Linked DNA regions of Alligator mississippiensis. The protein of the gene in region 1 binds, or shares a complex with, the protein of each later gene. Links are inferred from orthologs where the notes say so. Each region holds a gene or a part of one and is shown on either strand. Other genes may lie near its edges.

What was found. Proteins that work in one complex are often made in the same cells at the same time.
Region 2: E3 ubiquitin-protein ligase RNF113A (region 1) and SNRPD2 share a complex: the UniProt entries of both Homo sapiens proteins name them as parts of the minor spliceosome. The link is inferred for Alligator mississippiensis from reciprocal best matches to the Homo sapiens genes RNF113A and SNRPD2.

What each region holds. Positions count from the first base shown.
Region 1 is NC_081827.1:158,641,990-158,649,817, forward strand, and holds the start of E3 ubiquitin-protein ligase RNF113A, read left to right. Parts: upstream 1-4,774; 5' UTR 4,775-4,803; coding exon 4,804-4,903; intron 4,904-5,364; coding exon 5,365-5,441; intron 5,442-6,776; coding exon 6,777-6,881; intron 6,882-7,828. Other genes in the region: LIMD2 (LIM domain-containing protein 2), read right to left, coding at 4,218-4,286. UniProt on the Homo sapiens protein: Required for pre-mRNA splicing as component of the spliceosome. As a component of the minor spliceosome, involved in the splicing of U12-type introns in pre-mRNAs. E3 ubiquitin-protein ligase that catalyzes the transfer of ubiquitin onto target proteins.
Region 2 is NC_081838.1:499,623-504,964, reverse strand, and holds SNRPD2 (small nuclear ribonucleoprotein Sm D2), read left to right. Parts: upstream 1-3,871; 5' UTR 3,872-3,977; coding exon 3,978-3,979; intron 3,980-4,153; coding exon 4,154-4,333; intron 4,334-4,409; coding exon 4,410-4,584; 3' UTR 4,585-4,750; downstream 4,751-5,342. UniProt on the Homo sapiens protein: Plays a role in pre-mRNA splicing as a core component of the spliceosomal U1, U2, U4 and U5 small nuclear ribonucleoproteins (snRNPs), the building blocks of the spliceosome.

The DNA of each region.
Region 1 (7,828 bases):
ACCCTCACCCTCTCAGTCTGTTTCTTTCACTTTCTCTCAGCAGGGCTGGGACTAGACAAAATTAACAGTAATAATGCTTCCACTTCCTCGTCAAATCCCCCACCCCCAAACCTCACAAAGCAAAGCCAGCAGCATTGTCTCTTTTATGGTACATAGTGCGCTCAGCACCAAGCCCTGCTCTTCTGGTATCGAACTAGGACTCACCGCACTCCAGGGCTCCTCACAGAAACACCGGGCAGAAGGGCTCCTTCCCCTTCAGGGTCTGTCTGTCTGTCTGTCTCTCTGCCTGGTGGAGATGATTTTTTTGTGCTGCAGCCGGAGCTGGAGCTTCCTGTGCCGCCTTGTGAGTCCTTTCATCACCAGCTGCTGCCTGTGATTGGCTCACTGCTTCTTACACTCCAGTCTCCTTTGTGTGAAGCAACCTACAGCCCGACCTCCCCCAGCCCCTGGAGTCCCGTGCTCCCCCACTTCCATTCTCTTGCTCTCTCTCCACCAACTCACCCCCCCCGCCCCCTTGCCAGCCCTCTCAAATCAAAGTTGCTTCCCTGACCTGTGTGTATTGGGAGCATTGCCCAAGGAAACAGGCATGGGGCACACACCAGGGGAACATGCCCCATTTTCCTTCTCACTCACTACTAACACAGATGCCAGCAGTTACTCGCTGTCCTTGGCATTTCCCCAGTCTGCCTGCTGTTCTCCTTCATGACATTATGGGCCTGGGCTGGGCTACCCATAGCCACAGTGTTGGGGTGACCCTTAGCAGGTACACAGGCCCAGATTCAGCCTGCTCAGAACAATGCTCCTGCCAGCTCCCTCCCTTAGCTCTGTTCCTGCACAGACTTTCCATGTTCCTGATGTCGGGAAATAAGGTTCCCAAAGCTCAGGAGACCTAGATGATCCCACACTCACACCAAAGCATTGTCCCCAAGGAACCCCTTCTCCTCAGGGGGCAAGAGAGATGCTCCCTTCCTCAGGCTCTGAGAAGGTGTCTAACACAGCTCCCCTCCCAGTCAGCAGAAAGGGGAGGGGGACAGGATCCCTCTCTCCTGTGCTTCCTCAGCTCTTGAGGAGCTGAAATAACTGCGACAATTTGGGGATCCATATGCAGCTTATGATTTTGAATTTCTACATAGCCTGTGGTCTTTTGTATTATGACCTTCTCTCCTTTTGCACTACCTCATGTTCTTGTGCTCCAATGACAGGGAGAGGTGCCTGTCTGCCTACTCATGAATAGTTTGATCCTTAAAGACTATGAGCAGCTTAATAGATCTTGCTTGGGAAAACCAAAAAAGAAATGTAATCTCAGCTAAGTCCATTGCTTCCAACTTCTCTGCAGAAGGGTGGAAATCTGAAGGAACTGAGTTGCCCTAGAAACTGGACAAAAAACCCACCCAGTGCGGTGCTAGAATCTAAAAATTCAGAGGGATTCATGGGCAGGAGAGAGGATAAAAGGGGTATGTTTCATAGCAATCAGGTCCTTCTGGAACCACCTGAAGATGAGGGAAGCTGGCTGAAATGACGGAAGAGAGGAAGAAACTCCATAATTCAAAGGAGAAGCCAGGTGCTAGATGAGGAAATTGGGACTCTGACCAAATCCCAAAGATTGCTCAGGAGCAGGGGGAAAACCCATTAGGACCATAATGCAATAATGACACCACAGAAACAGTTCCTCGCTGGGATCCTTCATAAATTTGCAAAGCAAATTCCCCCATAGTTCCCCTGGAGAGAACTGAACAAAGCATGAATTTTAAAGTAGACTTTGGAGGTGAGTACAGCCAAGTCACAGCTCGTGTTTATAAAGTGATTAGCAATCAGCACACCAAAGCACAAACAAACAAACATATTAAGATAAAAGCTGAGTTTCCTTCCTAAAACAAGATACCAAATGTAGCAGGGAGACACTGATACTTCCCCATGAAGTCAGCCACCACTCAAAACAGCTTGAAAATGTGGTGCAGGATGCCAGAAGGGCTTGCAACTACAGAAGACCTAATGAGTAAGTGATATGTCTACAGAACAAAATGAATAAGCATTCTCAAAGAATTTATGGAGGTGTTTCCTGGATTAGGATACCAAAGCAATGTACTGTGTCCCTAGATTTCCACTGTATTGCCAAAGATACATGTGGCATGTAAAGAACATCACCACTGATGGGAAGTAAAAGCTGAATGTGTTTGGACTGTAAAATTAGATACAGCTAAGCAAATACAGACTCAAATGCCTTGGTTAACTAGGTGTCACTGTAACAGCCACCTGAAAGTGAGAGAGTAGGCGAGCTTTGCATAATACACAGTGCCTTTGCAGGTGGTAACAAGTGTGAGAAGAGAGCTCAAGAAGGCCCTGGGAGAGAAGGTGAAGATTACAACAGAACTACAACACATGATGCAAAGAATCCCAGAAATCAGATAAGATTCTTGGTAGTCCCTGGTGCAAGGCTGGTGCAAAATTACCAGAAACTTAAAAAGGTATCATTCTGAGCCTCTTGCTGGTGGACAACTCATTTTTTTTAATTGAACAGTTGCAAAACATACCAAGTAACTAGCAATAACACATTACAAACTGTGGTTTGCTCACTATGGGATTTCCCATAAGAGATAAGAAAAGGGCCTAGAATTCCCAAGGGGTCATTTCAAGGATTCTCTGGGATGTATTGGTTCAAGTACATTATGTCAAGGCCTGAGCTTAAAGCCAAATAGATCAGCAGGAAAGTCGGTAAAAACAGCAAAGGACTTGAGATGACATCCTGGCTTCATCCTGGATCCTTCATTGTTTTAATGGGGCTGGGATTTTCTTTTTGACTTAAAAATAAAAAGCAGTGGATATAGAGTGGGTCAGTCCTTAACACTGTTTTAATATCACAACATGCCTCAAAATGCTTTTTGGGGCATAAGTTCAGAAACTCATGGGCAGAACATCAAAAGAAAATATCAACATCTAAGTATCCTGAGTCAAAGGCAATTAACCTGAAGGAGTTAAAATCAACATGTGCCTCGGCATCCAGAACAGAAAAAATAATGCCCAGCAGCTGAGGTCATGGGAAGTTGGACTGCAATGCTGGCTTTCAAAGAGGTGTCCTGTAACCTGCAGAGGTACAACTGGACCACCACCCAGATGGTAGGTCATAATAACCAGTTAGGGACAATCCTACAGGAGAAACAGAAAACAGCTACAAAATTAGGAGGCTGGCTCTATCCATGGTGCTTATCTGGCCCTATAATCTTCCATTTGAGCACACCACTAACACACTTATGCATGCAATCCCCTGGGAGATAAGGCAGTAATAATATCCCCATTTCTCAAAATGGAGACTGAGGCACAGAGAGGCTAAGTGACTTGCCCAAGGTCACACTGGGAGCCTGTGGCAGTGGAGGGAATTAAACCTAGCACTCCAAAGTGCCAGGGCTGCGTCCTTGCCCCTTGGCCACCCTTCCCATCCCTGGCCTCTGTTCCATGAAGACATCCAGGATGTGTGTGACATTGGGAGTTGAGAAAGGAGACACCTCCTCCACCCTCTCACTGACAGTGCAAAAAATGAGAAGCAGCAACACACCTTCCCCAGGGTGTGACAATGTCCTCTCCCCACCCCACCATCATGTGAGGGGAGAGTTTTGCAGAAGGAACCCGATGAGAAAAATGCAGTGGGTCTTTTCAGAGACCCCCTGCTGCTAGTGGCAGCAGATGCTGATGGTCATCCAGCAGGAGCCAGATCAGGGAGTCCAGGAGCAGCGTCCTTCAGCCAGGGTCTCTGCTGCCCTTCACTGTGGGTCAGCATTTCCATCTGTGCAAGACAGGGTGCAAACTGCTTTGCACTCCTCCGGCATTGGTGGAAATGACAGCACAAGGTGCAGGCAAATCAGCCCCCTTAAAGTCTCTTCTCCCAGACAGGGGATGCAGGGCAGCCCCAGCATTACGTCCCATGCCCCTGGGCAATTCAGGGCACGGGACCCACCCTCCTAGCCTCAGCATGACCCATTCCTCCACAGCAGTCCTCACAGCATCCAGTTACACTCCAGACACACACTCAGCTCTGCTACTTGTTGCTATGGCGATGAGCAAGGGGCCGACTCGACTAGTGCAGGCTGAAACAGCAGAGCCTGGACGAGCTTGAGGGAATGGAGGGGCAGGGGGATACACCCTGCTTCCCCTGACTCACGCACCTGCCTGCCTTCCCTGCCTCCTCCAGCCCCACAAACACCCTGAGCTGAGGGCCACCTTACAAGCATGCAGCTGCGGGGAGATCTCCCTGCTGCTAAGAGTCCCCGAGTCTCCATCGCTGCGATGTCCATTTCCCGGCTGCTCCTGGCACCTTATGTGGCCCCGACGCTTCTCCCCACCTCGGGGGTTTCCAGCACTAAAGTGAGAGGGTTAACGAACATTTCGGAGCTGCGGCTGAAAGTGACTGGAGCGGAGAGGTGCTTGGGCAGCTGAGAGCTGGGCGCTAAGTCCCCAAATCCTCTGCAATCAGTGGGGTTGATGGAAACAGAAATTTCCAACAGCGCTTTATCAAAAGAAAACCCTGCGGGGCTGCAGGGGACAGCGCTGTGCCACGGCCCGCTGAGGGCAGCCCCGACTCCGGCCGCAATTGGACGTCTGTCTCCCCGCAGCCTCCCAGCGGGGCCTGCCCGCGGGACCAGGCCGCACCCTGCGGGCGGGCGCCGGCTCCCCTCCTCCCACCAGGGGGCGCCCGCACCCCGCCCCGCCCTGCCTCGGGCCGCCCCTCCTCCTCGCCGCGCGGGGGCGCTGCCGCGGCGGCCGCTTCCGCCCGCTTGTCCGGCGGCCCCACTCTTCGCCCCGGCCGGGAAGATGGCAGACGAGGCTCCGGTCTGCAGCTTCGTGTTCCGGCGGCGCGGGCCGGCAGCCGGCAGGGGCCGGCGCAAGCGGCCGGGCAGCGACCAGGAGGCGGGTGAGGGGCCGCGGCCGGCACCACTCCGCCAGGGGGGGCGGGCCGTACCACTGCCAGCGCCGGGCTCTGGCTGCGGGCCCACCCCGGGAGGAGGGCGTTCGGACTGTCCCACTGCAGGCGGGGGGAGGAGGGGTTCCTAAGCTGTGCCATTATCATTGGCGGTGCGGACCATACCATCACCACCGAGCGGTGGCGCGTTCTGGGCTGTGCCCCTGCCACTGGGGAGGGGATTTTGGGCTGTACCATACTCTCTGGGGCCGTCCTCGCTTGAAGGCAGGTGGTTCTGGGACATCCCATTCTCACTGCGGGGGGGGGGGGTCTGGACTGAGCCACTGAGCGCAGGGGTGGGGACTCCAGCAGGGCTGGGAGTGGTGGCGCCTGGCCATGATGCCCCCCGAGCCTGGGACAGCAGGGCGGCCCGCTCGGGCTGGCTTGACACCTGATGGCCGCTTTGCCCACAGGGAGCAGCAGCGATGAGGGCAGCGCAGTGGTGCGCAAGGAGCGGCGCCGGGATGCCCCCAACCCCATGGTCCAGAAGGTAATGGCTGCCCGCGCCGCGGTGCAGGCACGGGGCATCTTGCCAGCTGGCCCAGCCCCACCCAGGACTGTGAAAAGCCCCAGGGAAGAGCTGGGCACCACGGCACTTGGGGGCTTTTCCCTCGTGCACAGGCGGGAGCTGACATCAGCCGGCTCACCCTGGCCCTCGCTGCGGCTGTCTGCAGCCACTGCTCCCTGCCCTCGCGTGGCTTGTCTTTTAGTCCTCAGACATCTGAGGGAGCAGAGGCCTCAGCGGGGGGTGTGCAGCTGCGCGGGTGGGGAGCCACACACAGTAGCTGCAGGCCTTGGGTGTCTCACGTGACCCCAAATGTCCCAGTCCGGCGCGGGGCAGATGCCACAGTTGCACTCGTGACAGAACTCGGTTCACGTGTGCGGGTGACGTTAGCCCCTGGATCGCTGCACTGGCTGGGGTGGGAAGTAAACAGAGGGACGCACAAGCCTTTGGCTTGGCAAGCACACCCCTTGGATCTGAAGCAAACCTGTCATTTGTTCCTGTGATGGAACAGGCGGGATGGGCCGGGGTTGAGGGTTCGGGCACTGTGACTGCATTGCCCCTTGCTCGCTGGTCTATGAACTACCTCCTACCACCAGTAGCTGATGGTGGCCTACGGCCGAGGAAGGGCACTGGGGGCTGCACAAAGGTTTTCCTCCTTTTCTTCCATGTTTCGGCCTTTCTTGTTCAGAATCGCCCTGGGCATCTTTAGGAGCCTGGGTCATTTTTCAGGCAGTGTTGGTCTACTGCAGCTTTACATCTCATGTCTCTGTGTCCTCAAGGAGGCCACCCTTCTAGCAGCTCGTCTTAGATGTAAGGGTGTCCTTATATTGGGCCAAACAGTGACGCCATTAGACATGTCATACTGCTCTGTGCCCACTTCCCTGTCCCCAAACCAGGTGCACTGTAGCCTGAACTGCTGTATTTGCAGTATCTGCGTACTCCACGAGTTGCGAGCCTGAGTTCTAGATACTATTATGCAAAGGTCTTTCACTTGAGAGAGAGGACCCATGTATGCATGTGGTGTGGAGGTGTGATCCTGGTATCTGTAACTAGAATGCTCCCCTTTCCCACTGTTGTGCTACTTGCTTCCTTTCCACAGTTTAGTGATAGTTTAGTGATTTGTGCAGAGCCTGATCCTGATGAGACCTGAGTGCCCAAAGTTTCATTAATTTGCCTCCCTGGGCTATAGTTCTGTCTGTAGCCAGCATGGAGTCAGCTCATTAGGGATGGCCTCCCCCGTGGGAGGAGGGCCTCTTGTGTCTGGGTGTTGTGTTCCATTTCCCAGTATTAAATTTTCAGTGTTTTTCTCTCCCCCTGCAGACCCAGAGAAGCGTAAAGGAGAAGACCTCATATGGGTCGAACAGCAGCAGCGATGAGGAGGCATCGCAAGGTGTCGGAGTCGCTTACAAATCAACACGATCAGCGGTGAGGAGAGTACAGTGCTTACGTTTGAAGGGGGCATGGCTGTAGGTTCAGTAGAGCCCAAAGGAGCTAGCTGGTCACCTTGTCTGCCCTCTGGCAGAGTATAAAACTGGGCATCCTCAGGAGAGCTACTGGAGACACTCTTGCCCTGAATGGGAATTTTGGTTGCTTTATCCTGGTCCCATGCCCTGGTTTTATGGCTCTGTTGAGTGCTTCTCTTGTGTGTTCGCCTCTTCGAGAGCTTTCCCAGCCTTGCAGGGCCAGAGTGTCTGATAGCCTTTAATGGAGTCATCCTTGCGATGGTCCTGTGAGGCAGGGCAGGATTTACACAAGGGAAGCTGAGGCCCTTCCAGGATGAGTGACTTGCCCAGGGTCACACAGGAGGTTGGCAATGAACCAGGAGCTTGGAGCCAGGTGACCTGAGTCGGAAGCTAGTGCCTTGCCCCTCCAGGCAACTCTTCCTGTTTGAGCCCTTCACAAGGGGGAATGGTAATTTTATTCCTGCTCTACTAATGGGGAAACTGAGGCACAGAGAGACAAAGTAACTGTCCGAGGATTGTGTAACCAGTTGGTGGAAGAATGGGAAACAGAACCTAGGCATCCTCCAGTGGCCTAATCACGCAACTGAAAACAGAGGGTGGTGGAGAGGTTACAAGTCCTTACATTAGACACAACTCTTCTCAAATGCGTAATGAAATGTATAACTTCCTGTGATGTTGGAAATCCAAGCAGCTGTATCTTGTTTCACTGCCTGGCCTTGAGTGTACCACATGACACAAAGATAGATCAATTCGATCTGGGTTAAATAACACCAGGAGGTGATTGTAAGGGCCTCTTCAGTGTCCTTATTGTTTCTGTGTTGAGGCTGGCTTCAGAATATGGTGGTAGGATGGGCTGTGGACAGGAGGAAAGGCCCATGGGGTTCATACTGCACAGATCCCCTCCCCTGT
Region 2 (5,342 bases), on another chromosome or scaffold:
GTGGCCAAGAGGAGGCCCCTCATGGCCGCTGGGTCGGGCCCAGAAGCTGGGCCAAATTGTCAGCGGGGGAAATGCTGCTGGTCTCAATCCAGAGCTCCAGCCTCTGGAGATCCCCCCCCACCCAGGGCTTCACGGGCGAGCGCTGGCCAGGATTGGGGCACCAGGGTCCCCAGGCAGCGTCAGAGAAACTCTCCCGAGGAGCTGGTTCAAACCAGTTGCCGGGTACTTACAGCACAGAGAGATCGCGCTCCTCTGCCCCCAGCCCCGCCAGCACCCCCGGGGCCAAGTGGGGTTCAGTCCCTCCTACACCTCGTCCTGCTCAGATCTCAGCCCTGGGGTAGGACCCGGTTCACCTCCATCCCGGGACCCGCAGCTCAAAACCCCACATTTCCCAGCTCCGGGGTTTTGCTTTTTGGTTTTATTTGTGAACAAAGCCGATCACCGAACCCCAGACGAGCGGCGCGCCCAGCCCCCCGCGCACGTGCCAGGCTGAGAACGGGTCGGGGAAGAGCCCAGGGCCGTGCCCAGAGGTGTCTCTCGGCATCCCCTGGCTCCTCCACCTCTCTGTCCATGCATTTCTTTTTTGCATTTCATTTTGCTTTTGCATTTCTTCCCTGCTTAAAGCCCCCTCACCTCCGGGTCTTTTCCCCTCCGGACTATGCATAGCACGGATCTCCGGCTCCGCTGCCCCACCGATTTCAGAGGCAGGATTTCGTAGGGCCGCGTCCGCCGTCCCTGCAGGCAGACGAGCTTTCCAAAGCAAAACCTTCTTCCCGGGGTCTCCGCTACCGCTTCAATGGTCTCCAGGTCCATTCTGTCTCCCCTCGAACTTGCCCTTTCCTTCAGTCACTGAACGTCTCTCAAATGTCTCCGTTCGGAAAAGATCCTTTTTTTTCAAGCTAATTCCAAATATTTCTAAGCCAGCGGCTTCTTCTTTGCCTTCTCCCTGGCAGCACGTGGACCTGCTAAGAGAGCTCCCTGGCTAAAAACTCCCTGAGCTCTTGGAAACGCGGCCTTGCGCGTCTCCCCGCTGCACGACGAGTGATCGGGTCCTCGTGACTCTTGTACGTGGCCGACGTCCCGGGACGGAGCAGCAGGGACACGAGGGGTCTCCTGGGCTGATAAAGGCATTTCTCTCTCCCCCTTTCAAACCAACGGTGGAGAAACTCCGTGGACTGGACCTGAAGGAAGGAAGGAAGGAGACTGGTTGAAAAGAAGAGTTTCTTTCTTTTTTCTCCCGTCTCTGGGTCGAGATTTTGGTCATTCTCTGTACCCTGCGAACAGTGAAAGCTTCTCCTAGGATTTTTATAGTGTAGAAATTGTGTATCATTTTATTGTGTATAAAAATTATGCAACCTTTTTACTGTGCATAAATTGTGAATCATTTTTATTGTGTGTAAAATTGTATAGCATGTTTACTGTGCATAAATTGTGTATCATTTCATTGCGCATGTATTGCGTATTGTTTTTATTGTATATAAGTTGTGTGCCATGTTTATCGTGTATAAAAATTGTGTAGGGGTTTTATCGTGTGTACATTGTGCGTTATTTTATAGTGCACATATTGCGTATCATTTTGATTGTGTATATATTGTGCATCACTGCACCATCCGGCTCGTTTCTCGCTATCCCGAGGCCAGGGTGTGGGTGGGGGGCGGACTCACTTGCGTTGCCTCTGAATGGGTATGTGGGAGCCCCGGTTGTCCGGGGACCCGTCTCCCCAGATCCTGGCCTTTATTTCCCGTCGGGTTTGAACGGCGACCGGGCAGGACGGGGGCGAGCGGCACACCCAGCAGCGCGGGGAGCACGTGGCCCGAGCCCAGCGCAGCTCTGTGCGTTCCCGTATTGCCTCACGTACAACGCGCCCCAGAATAGAAGACACCCCTTCTCCGGAAGGGCAGGACGAAGAACACGTCCCCTTGTACAAGCAGAGCCGCGGCGAGGGAGGCTTTCCTCCGCGCGGATCACGGACAAGTTTACGTCCGTGTTACCCAACCAGTGTCAGAAATCGATCTTACCGTATTTCTTGCATACGAGACACACCCCGACTGCCTGTTTTTTTCACGGAGGGGGGAGTGCATGGGGTATGCAAGAAGATATAGCATTTCCCAGGTTCCCAGGGACCCCAGAAGACTGCTCTTCCGGCCCCCGGATTAATTGCTCGTCACTGCCTCCTTAAGAGGCCCCGGCCCTCGGGGATGGGGTTACAGGAGCCGCCTGTCAGGGCGGGCTGGAGTGACAGCCCGGGGCTCGTTAAGCAATCACCTGCTCTCGGGTTTCGCTGGCGCGCTTGACCCCCGCGCCCTCGGCACCGCAGGCCAGCGAGGATCCCGGCGAGCAGCTGGCCCCGCGGGGGCGCTGGGGCAGGCATCACTCACCGGGCGCCAAGAGGCGGCACATCTGGGGCGCGGAGGGCAGCTGTTTAGACAAGCGTCACTCAGCCGGGGCCAGACCGCAGCCACCTCTGGGGGGGCCGGGCCCGGCTCCGGTCAGCTCGGACCGTTCGCATGCGCAGGGCTCAGATGCGGCCACCTCTGGGGGGCAACAAGTAGCTGCTCGCACCGGCACTGAATGACCTTGACCCCCCCCGGCACGACCTGGCCCCGGCCTGCCCGAGGGGCCACGCGCCGACCGGAGCCCATGGGGCGAACGTGGGGGCGGTCGCTGCCTGGAGCCCGCGGACAAGCGGGACCTGGGGCCGGAAGGTCCGTGCGGGGCCGCGGCTGCCCTGTCCGGTCCCGTCCCTACTGCGGGCAGTGGGGGCAGTGGGGGCGCTGCGCGGGGGGACAAGGGGGGCAGTATGGGGCGCTGTGCAGGGGGGTAAGGGGGGGGCAGTGGGGGCGCTGCGCGGGGGGACAAGGGGGGCAGTATGGGGCGCTGTGCAGGGGGGTAAGGGGGGGGCAGTGGGGGCGCTGCGCGGGGGGACAAGGGGGGCAGTATGGGGCGCTGTGCAGGGGGGTAAGGGGGGGGCAGTGGGGGCGCTGCGCGGGGGGACAAGGGGGGCAGTAGGGGGCGCTGTGCAGGGGGGCAGTAGGGGGCGCTGTGCGGGAGGGGCAAGGGGGGCAGTAGGGGGCGCTGTGCGGGAGGGGCAAGGGGGGCAGTAGGGGGTGCTGTGCGGGGGGGCAGTAGGCGGACAGTAAGGGGCGCTGTGCAGGGGGGTAAGGGGGGGGCAGTGGGGGCGCTGCGCGGGGGGACAAGGGGGGCAGTAGGGGGCGCTGTGCAGGGGGGCAGTAGGGGGCGCTGTGCGGGAGGGGCAAGGGGGGCAGTAGGGGGCGCTGTGCGGGAGGGGCAAGGGGGGCAGTAGGGGGTGCTGTGCGGGGGGGCAGTAGGCGGACAGTAAGGGGCGCTGTGCAGGGGGGTAAGGGGGGGGCAGTGGGGGCGCTGCGCGGGGGGACAAGGGGGGCAGTAGGGGGCGCTGTGCAGGGGGGCAGTAGGGGGCGCTGTGCAGGGGGGCAGTAGGCGGACAGTAAGGGGCGCTGTGCAGGGGGTAAGGGGGGCAGTGGGGGTGCTGTGCGGGGGGGCAAGGGGGCAGTATGGGGCACCGTGTGGGGGGGCAGTAGGGGGTGCTGTGCGGGGGAGCAAGGGGGAGCAGCAGGAGGTGTGGGTGCAGGGGGTAGCGGAGGGGGGGGTCGCCTGGGGGTCCCCCCTGGCCGTGGGGGGGTGGGGGTCAGTGCATTGGGAGGGGAGGCAGAACCAGACGCCGCTTCGCGCTCCGAAGCCTCTTGACCCCGCCGCGCTCCCGTAACCGCATCCGACCCCGCGACCGCCTCGCGCGCTCGCGCTACATGACTCCTCCGCCGCCCCGTACTTGTAGGCCAGCTCGGACACAGTTCCGCGTTCCACGATCTCTTGGCTCCGCCGCCGCCCCGTAGGTCCACCCGGAAGTGGGTCCAGGCCTTGGTGACCCGGAGGCGGAAGTCGGTGGGGGAGACCCGGGAGCGGCGGCGCGCGTGCTTGGGACCGGGAGCGGTAGAGCAATGTGAGGGGGGCGGGGGACTGGGACCAGGGGGAGGCAAGGAAGGGGGGGGTGGAGTCGCCAAGGAGGGGGAGGGGGGGTCCGGGTGGAGACGCCCCCCCGAGACGCCCCAAGGCGGGGGCCCGAGCCGTGGTGCGCCCGCGTGCACCCGGCCGAGCTGCCCCCCCCGCCCCCCAGGAGTCTGCTGAACAAGCCGAAGAGCGAGATGACGCCCGAGGAGCTGCAGAAGCGCGAGGAGGAGGAGTTCAACACGGGGCCGCTGTCCGTGCTCACGCAGTCGGTCAAGAACAACACGCAGGTGCTCATCAACTGCCGCAACAACAAGAAGCTGCTGGGCCGCGTCAAGGCCTTCGACAGGTAGGGGCCGCGGGGATAGGGGGGCTGCGCCCGCCCGCCCGCCCGCGCCACGGCCCTGACCCCCGCCTCCCCCCAGACACTGCAACATGGTGCTGGAGAACGTGAAGGAGATGTGGACCGAGGTGCCCAAGAGCGGGAAGGGCAAGAAGAAGTCGAAGCCGGTGAACAAGGATCGCTACATCTCCAAGATGTTCCTGCGCGGCGACTCCGTCATCGTCGTGCTGCGCAACCCCCTCATCGCAGGCAAGTGACCTGCCGCCGCCCGCCTGGGGAGGGGTCCGCCGCCCCCCCTCCCCGGGGTCGGTCACCCCGAGGCCTGGGCCGCCTCGGCCCCTGCCAGGCTGCAGACCGCGGCTAGGACTCTTTCCACCCCCCCCCCCCTTGGTTTTGGCTACTAATTAAACTATGTGATTTGTTGCCCCGTCTGGTTTCCTGGGGGAGGGGGCAGGGAGGGGCCTGTCTTGACATCCGGCTCCTCACACCTTCACCCCCCCCATCTAGACGGCCTCCTCCCCAGAGCCAGCTGCGGGGGCTGGGGAAGAGCCAGCAGGTGCAGTGGTTCCAGATCTCCCCGCCCCCAACGCAAGCCAGACCCTGGCGTGCATTCACCGACGCGTCGCTAGCAAAACCAGGGAGGTCCTCCCGTTTGACTCGGCCTTAGCGAGGCCCGAGCTGGAGTACTGCGGCCAGTTTTTGGCCCCCCACTCCAGGAGGGATGTGGATAAGCTCAGGACAGACCAGACAAGAGCCGCCCACCATCCGAGGCCTGGAGGGTAGGCCCTACGAGGACAGGAGAGGAGAGGAGAGGCTGAGGGACTTCGCCCACTTCATCCTGGAGAAGAGAAGGCCTGGGGGGGGACATGACTTGGTGGCTGCCTGTCAGCACATAAGGGGGGAGGTGCAGCGGGCTCTGGGAGGACAGTTGCTCACCAGGGCTCCCCAAGAGAGAGCAGTCCAACAGCCACAAACGTCGAGCAGGCCCACTCAGACTCGATAGAAAAAGCTACGG